2 linked regions of the Drosophila melanogaster genome follow. The protein of the gene in region 2 interacts with the protein of the main gene of each other region in a pairwise test. Each region holds a gene or a part of one and is shown on either strand. Other genes may lie near its edges.

What was found. The genes of interacting proteins can lie anywhere in the genome.
Region 1: the proteins of CASK (region 2) and veli interact in a two-hybrid assay, tested with the Drosophila melanogaster proteins (2 studies listed by BioGRID).

Annotation. Positions count from the first base shown.
Region 1 is NT_033777.3:25,063,857-25,067,321, reverse strand, and holds veli (veli), read left to right. Parts: upstream 1-1,730; 5' UTR 1,731-1,807; coding exon 1,808-1,844; intron 1,845-1,907; coding exon 1,908-2,461; intron 2,462-2,525; coding exon 2,526-2,675; 3' UTR 2,676-2,904; downstream 2,905-3,465. Other genes in the region: Stt3B (catalytic subunit 3B of the oligosaccharyltransferase complex), read left to right, coding at 1-189, 244-315; PQBP1 (Poly-glutamine tract binding protein 1), read right to left, coding at 689-1,320, 1,381-1,444; stac (staccato), read right to left, coding at 3,053-3,144, 3,206-3,387, 3,445-3,465.
Region 2 is NT_033777.3:21,819,662-21,824,446, reverse strand, and holds the start of CASK (CASK), read left to right. Parts: upstream 1-1,772; 5' UTR 1,773-1,964; intron 1,965-3,423; 5' UTR 3,424-3,741; coding exon 3,742-3,800; intron 3,801-4,680; coding exon 4,681-4,785.

The DNA of each region.
Region 1 (3,465 bases), 3.2 Mb from region 2:
GGATATGATCGCACACGTAACGCCGTCATTGGGAATAAGGACTTCGATCTGACCTACCTGGAGGAGGCCTACACCACAGAACACTGGCTTGTTCGCATCTATAGGGTGAAGAAGCCGCATGAGTTCAATAGACCATCACTGAAGACCAAGGAGAGAACGATTCCTCCAGCAAACTTCATTTCGAGAAAGGTAGTGTACCCTGCAGCTCCCAATGAACTTCATTAACAATCTGATTCTTTGCAGAACTCTAAGCGTCGCAAGGGCTACATACGAAACCGACCGGTTGTTGTTAAGGGAAAACGAACCTTGAAATAAACCCAAAAAAAAAATAATTGTATTGATCTTTCACCAATATATATAACTTGGTTAAAACACTTTACACATAGCACATAGTTTGGTGAAAGTGTGTCCACCGCATCCTCATGTTGAGGGCTTTAATCGCCGCCTCAAATTCAACTTTCACATACTTCCCGACTCGTGCGACACAATTTTATCGAGTTGCTGCTTTCGTAAAATTTCCGGTTCCTTCGATTTAAATCTGTTCGCGGCTCCACCATTCATTGTCTTAAGCTAGCAATTCAATAAAGCAGAGTGTACATTTTTAAACCTTAATATCTATCATAGTTATTCATTTTTATTTGAACAGTAGCGATCTACAGCTCATAAGTCAAATGGCTAGTTAGTAGTGCTAGTTATCATTACGGCGACGTCGTTGGATTTTTCGTTCCAGGTCCCTGGACTTTTGCTTCTTGGCGGGAACGAATACGTCGGGCTCGTCGGGTTCATTTTGGTTAGAAGACTTGGGCTGAACCATGTTGGTATCGAAGTTGAACTCATCGTTGGAGTTGGCCAGTTGTCTGCGAAACACTGCGGCGCTGTTGGTGATCCGTGCTTTGGGATGCGAAGGAGGTAGCCACGAAACAGTCTGTGTGGTCGAGTTATAGAAGTAAAACGCCTTGCAGCCCTTATCGTAGACATCCTTCCAGCCCGCCTCCAGTGGATACTTCCGCAGCAATCTCTTGTAGCGCTTGAGATACCTATGGCTGGGCTGCGAAAGCGGCGAGCTGTTGAACTTGTTTACGCAGTACAGCGAGCACTTGTGGTATATGTTGTATTTGTTGGGACACAGCTTGTAGCCATGGTAGGACTCGTTCACGCCGATCCGCTCCTTGATGCGGTGCGACCAGAACTTCTCCTCGACGCTCCTGCGCTTGGGCTCCGGCGATGTGTCCTCCTTGTACGGGTAAGGGCCGCTCTTGTCATCGTCATCGTAGTTCTCGGCTATAATCTCTTCTATAGCTTCTGAAATCGGTGCTGCTCCTGTGGAAAGCTGAAGTTGGTTATCCTCTTTTTGGATTCTATACTGGTCTTTGTATTTACCCGACTGTTTGGTCACAAGTCCGCGCTTCTTCAGGCGCTGCAATAGTGCAGCTGGCAGGCTCATTTTGCTATTATTCTATTGTTAGTTTAAATAAATACGGTGCGGAAATAATATCAATATAAAATAATATGACCATGGATGTACGTGCATAAAATACCACACTTTCAAGAAACTTGTTTGTTTCAAAAGATAATTTTTTAAACGAAAAGTACTGAGATTAGATTATAAGTATATGATATATTGTTAAATATAAAAAATATAACTTTTGTTACTATTTTATTAAACCAAATTATTTCAAATAGAGAATATAATTTCACGGAATGGTATTTTGTGCCCCTGAGACGTATGGTCATATTATTTTCAGCTGCTCGAATAATATTTCAGGTCAGCTCAATTTGACTGATTATTATTAAATTGAACAGCAATATGGCCGATAACGCAGAACCACTGACTTTGTCCAGAGGTAAGGGTGCATGCTAACCATTCCCAGTTGGAGGAAACTCACACCCAATGCTCTAACTTTCAGATGTCAAAAGATCGATAGAGCTCTTGGAAAAGCTGCAAGCGAGTGGCGACTTCCCCACGACAAAACTGGCCGCCCTGCAGAAGGTGCTCAACTCGGACTTCATGACCTCCGTGCGGGAGGTGTACGAGCACGTCTACGAGACGGTGGACATCCAGGGCTCCCACGACGTGAGGGCATCCGCCACTGCCAAGGCCACTGTGGCAGCCTTCGCAGCCAGCGAGGGGCACGCTCATCCCAGAGTCGTCGAGCTCCCGAAAACGGAGGAGGGTAAGACACGCCCCTATGAGCTAAGAATCGAGGGGATTCCCCTATATCATAAAACCAATACCTTGATTGTAAAGGTCTATAGACCGAGAATATATGTTTCTATTATACATCTTATATGGAAAGCTTTATCAATCTTTAATTTTTGTTTTTCAGGCTTGGGTTTCAATGTAATGGGGGGCAAGGAGCAAAACTCGCCCATCTATATATCCCGAATAATACCTGGAGGCGTGGCTGACAGGCATGGTGGTCTGAAAAGGGGAGATCAACTTTTGTCTGTGAATGGTGTGGTAAGTCATTAATTCAGTTATGTACCTTAACTCCTTAAGAACTTGCAAAATATCAATATTTCAGTCTGTCGAAGGAGAAAACCACGAGAAGGCCGTAGAGCTATTAAAGCAAGCTGTCGGATCTGTAAAGCTGGTGGTACGCTACACACCAAAGGTTCTCGAGGAAATGGAAATGCGATTTGATAAGCAACGCAACACACGTCGTCGCCAATAAGGCACATCGGCAAAAACTTGTGCCATAGTAGTTTTTGCCATTAGACCATGCTGATATGCACGTATCAAGCCCTTTACGAATAATATAATTTAACACAAATACCATTTATATATTATTTATTACAAAGAAACTCTGGAAAATTACTCTTTAATCGTAAAAAGTGAGTGTTATGTATTTGTAACTAATTACCGCGTTGGTTTTTGTTCCAATAAATGTAATTAAAACTGTCAGACAATGCAAATCTTTTCTTCATAAGTTTCAGTCCATAAATGGGGCCCATTTCAAAACGCAACTTTGTAAATTTTAGTACGATTGCCGTAGAAAATATAAAAATACAGTTTTATTGCTTTTCTTTACAACGTATAACTTTTCACAATTTAGGAGAAGGATCGGTTCTTCAGCTTTTTAAGGAAATCCTTGGCCTGCTTATCACCTAGTCTGTATTCCAAGGCACGCAGTGATTCGGAATCTGAAAGCACATAACATGTATAAGTTTCCAGTTTTAATCTGCCAAAAGTATGATTAGGTACCTGTATACTCTGGTCTGGATAGATTCATCATTATTTGCTCGCCCGGTGGTGTCGCTTCCAGATCTGCGAAAGATATATAGCTCTCTGCTATATACTGGCTCGACATGCCGAATAAATCTTTATCTTTGATGCTAAATACAATAAGACTATTCTTTTCACTTCGCTGGTGGTCACTCAAGTTTCTGCCGAATGAAGGTATATTTATATATGGATGCATAAATTAAAAAGTAACTACTTACATACGAAACTCCTGATCGTAA
Region 2 (4,785 bases):
GTGCTTTTTTTTTATTAGGGTACAGTGGTAATTGGATAATATTTTTATATATATATATTTTTCAAGATTCGCGTTTTAAATAAAAAAACAAAATTTTTTTTTCTTTTCTATATATTTTAGCTGGCTGATACAAGTAGGTAAAACCACTTAAGAATGAGGAAGGTGTGTACTTTTTAGTTTATACCCAAACTATTTGATTGATCTCACAAATTATGAAAGAAGTTGTATAAATTAAAAAAAAAATTAATTACTTTTTTATTATTTCTGAATATTTCATAGTGCGTATAATTTAATTGGCTGCTATTTTACAATCGAAAGGTGGACATTAGTGGGTGACCACTGTTGTTATTGCTGATCATTAACACTTGTTGTTTTTGCTGCTCATCTCGAAATGGTTGTTGGTGCTTATCCTTTTCGACTATATCCCCCGTAGTAATATGGCCATATTGAGTTCATTTTCATCAGGTCTTTCTTCATTTGGCTGATGGTTTTGTGTTTGTTGCTCCCTTATTGGCTTGTTGTTTCTCTTGCATCTTATCTGTGTGTTGTTGTCGTTGGGCGTTTGGCGGTGATTGTTGTTGTTGTTGCTGTTCGAGGTTTTGTAATTGATGATGTTTATGTTTGAGTATTGGCCCCCGTCACCAGCCCCTTCCAACTGATTTAAAGATTACGCACCTACGGTTTTTATTTTTTATTTTCGAGGAGTGCGTGTGGGTTTTCCTCGTCTTCGGTTGAGGGACTCCTGTGTGTGTGCCTGGCATATTAATGCCAAGATCTTAATTTATTCTAATGGGTTTATCAAATGCTGTGGGGTAATAATAATAATAATAGATAAAGTTGAATGGCGCGAAAGAGAAGTAATGTAAATAATATGGTAATATTCAATGAGCTGTGAACGAGCCTGGCGATAAAGTAAGTTGATAAAGGTTCTGTAGTGAAAATCCCTGTATTAACACACTGGTGGCTTAGTCCAGTTAAATAAATCGTGAATCATTTTTGAAGGGGAAAATGTTTACTTTCAAGTTGATGAATGGTAATTGGCATCGTATTGCCGATAAAACTGGAAAGTGTTCGAAATTCGTATGTGCAATATTCCACAATAGCTTTATGCACTTGCTTGCGTACCGCATAAATATTTACCTCCATTTGACTTCACTCAAGCGGAAACAATTCAGTGTGCAATGAATTATCTTACTTTCGAGTAAATTTATTAAGCATGCAGTGGGTATTTATCAAAGGAAAACAACTGCCTTTTGCTGATAAGTCAAGCAAATAAAAGCATATGCAAAATGCTACCGAAGAGAAAGGAGCAGGAAAATATAATTTACTTTTTCTTTAACAAAATTAAAGTTTTAATAGTATTTATTTTCAATTTCGATAAAACATCTGTGTCGTTATGAATGACTATATTCTTAACAATATTCCAAAATTATACTTTCTCGTCCCCAAAACTTTTTTTCAAAAACTTCCGCGCAAATTTTAACAGACCAAATAAAGTTAATAACAAAATGACAGAAAAGCTTAGATACCAACGGGTTTCTGGTATTTTTCCAGTATAACCAGTTGCTTGATTCAAACAAACTTTCTTGAATTAAAACTTTGATTAACGAAGTAAGTTGCTGCAGTACCACCCTTAAATTTATTTTAAAAACAATATTTTTAATGAACACAGGTTGGTATCAATTTTCAATGGGAGAGCCGTGAACCGACTCCAAGTTCCGAACCAATCCAGCAATGCACCTGCAGCCCTGGAATTCTAGTTCGCGGCGAACCGGTTCAGTTGCAACCAGTTCTTCGCCAATCAATTCCTCACGGGCCGTGTTTGTTTTAAGTTAAAATTAGTAAATTACCCAATGCAATCAGCTTGCCAGGCGATTCGTGCTGCGCACCTAGACAATCGAGTGCTAATGCGATTCGCTAAAATGCCAAAAACCAGCGGCCGTTGAAGAATCGCTGCCAAATCGGTGGGTTTTCGTACATAAAACTATATGCGAATTGTTCGTGCCAGTGTGTGTTCGTGTGTGTGTGTGTGTGTGTGGTGTGAGTGTGGCCCCCTCTATGTGTGGCCGATAAAGGGGGCGGTGTCGTTGATAAGGGGGCGTGGAACATGAGCAATGCAAATCCTTTAGACAAAGAATCAATTTGCCAATTGTGCGACACTCGAGAGTCTCAAAAAGTCCTAAAAGCAGGGCCAAATGCACACACATAGTCAGTGAGTGAGTGTATGTGGGTGTGGGTGGGTGCGTTAGTGAGGTGGGCGGTAAGGTCGTGTGGAAAGTGTCAAGGCATTTTACAACAGCGGCACACGAGCAAGGTAAAACCCTCGAGCCCGAATACTAAAACCGAGCCAAAAACACCGCGCCCCATGCGCAGCTCTGCATTAAACATGACTACCAGAAAGTCCTTCGCGGGGATTCCCCGCAAATGCTCCGTCCTGCTCTCGCAGTCGCAACTCAGTTCTCCACATTTCGTGTGTGCATCGTAAATTGTTGCACATTTAAATATTCATGCAGCCCGGGCAGAAAGCATAGCTTATATTTTTTACGATTACAATTTTGGTGCTTTACACGAATTTCCCACGGCGCCGGCGCACTTTACATCCATGCTCGCCATCTTTCTCGCACTCCTTCGCTCTCTTTCACACTCTCTCGCTCTCTGGCTTTCTCCTTTCGGATTTTTGGAGTGCCATCAAAGTTTTGAAAAGTATGTTCAAGTGCTGGACCAAAAGGCATAATAATAGTATGGCCAAGACAAAGGTAGCGCCTCCCATCCACCCTCCCCCCCTGCGAACTTTCCCCGCGAACATCCTTGGAACGAGACCCTCGAAAAGGACACATTCTGCAGGTCCTGCTGGCTTGTTTACCTTTTCAGCTGGCCATCATTTCCGTTGCAAAATTCACAACGCCCACTGTGCGGGGATACTTCCTTCCTACCATTGGCACTTTCGACAGCATTTTGTGCATTTGTGGTGTGTGCCGCCTGTAATTGATTGGGGTTTACACCTGATATGAGTGTGATTGACATATCAAACAAGTTTCGGCCAGGCCAGTCTCATTTCCGTTGCGACACCATTAACAGTGGTCCCTCGAAAAGTGTTCCCATCACACAAGTGTCAACACGCCAGCCCAACTTTATAGTGGCATTTTCAATTTGATTGATTCAGATAGCATTATAAACTTAACTTAGTTTGTAAGTAAGATTACAAAATATTTAGGAAATTATTAGCAAATTTTCTTGATTAAAATCTGTGTATAATTTTTCACAAATGTAAACAAATTTGTTTATATTTGCGTCATCTGCTTGACAGAATTCTCGCAAAGCTTCTTGACAGTTTCTTAATTAGACGCCAAATAAATCTGATTAGCGGCCTTCAACTAATGGAAAAACTCACCTTCACCATTTTCACTTGTTATATTTTTCCAGCGCAAAATGCATTCTTAACATCAGCAGCTACGAAAACAGCAACAGCATTAGCGGCAACAACGAATCAACGACACCAATAACAATACCATTAACAACAAATCATCAGAAGAAACCGAAGGAAAACGCTCAAAGTTTTGGAGTTGCTCACTGGCCGCTTAGTTTTTTGTTTATTTTTTATGTTCGTTTTTGGAGGGCAGTAGGCGACGACGGGCAAAGGAAGCGGGAGAAGGAAAAGCGACGGACACGAAAAACAGGACACAACTCATCAATATTCGAAAAAGCAATTGAGTCGAGGCATCAATTCATCAATTATTCAAAATGACCGAAGACGAAATTCTCTTTGACGACGTCTACGAGCTGTGCGAGGTCATTGGCAAGTAAGTTAGCGCCCCACCGGCTATATCTTTAGCCGATTCTGCTGCTGACAGCTGGCATCCATGGCCATTATCTCATTATGTATTATGTATCCGCCCCGTATGCCCATCCCACCCACCCAGAAGCCGTAAATCATGCAACTATTGGCCTGGGACGAAGCCAGCTCCCCTCTATAAAAAACTTTCCCAAACGCCCAACTTTTGCATTATTCAAAAATGTATGACCAAACATTTTCTGTGCTAGTTACTTTTGCTGTGATCATCATAGTTTAGCCAGAAGTTCATTCACAAAGCTGTCAATGTTATTAAGTTGAACTTTGTTTAATTTCGTTGGAAAAATATTTTTCACTGATGTTGAAAATGTTCCATTAACACACTTCTAAAGTTTATTGAAAATGAAGTGTGAGTCACTAAATAGCACGTTTTTTAATTTTTTGCAATTTATAATCTATAAACTATAAGCAAAATGACGACCTTGAATCGCAATAGTTTTCCAAATTCAGCTTGGTGACATAGTTCAATAAAAATTAATCACGCTCATAAAACAAGATGATAGGAAATCGTTGCTTGACTTTAAATGAGTTATTGAATAGGAATTTGTAAGAAAATTAAAATTTATTTGTAAAATAATCATCAGTAATGTTATGGCAAGCTTTTGTATTAAAACCCCACGTTTGTAACTACAAAGAGAATACATAGTTGATTAAATTTCCTCTTTCTCAAGTATCTTGTTTGCTTTTAGACGCTCGGAAAATATAAATATTTTGCTTTTGTCGAAGCAAGATAAAATTTTATTCGCTCCCATTTAGACACAATCAACTTTCAATTGAAGTTTAATCCGAATTTACTTTATTCCCCCCCCATCCGGGATTGTTTCTTACAGAGGACCTTTCTCCATCGTAAGGCGATGCATACACAGGGAGTCCAATCAGCAGTTTGCCGTCAAAATCGTTGATGTGGCCAAGTTCACAGCGAGTCCTGGACTGAG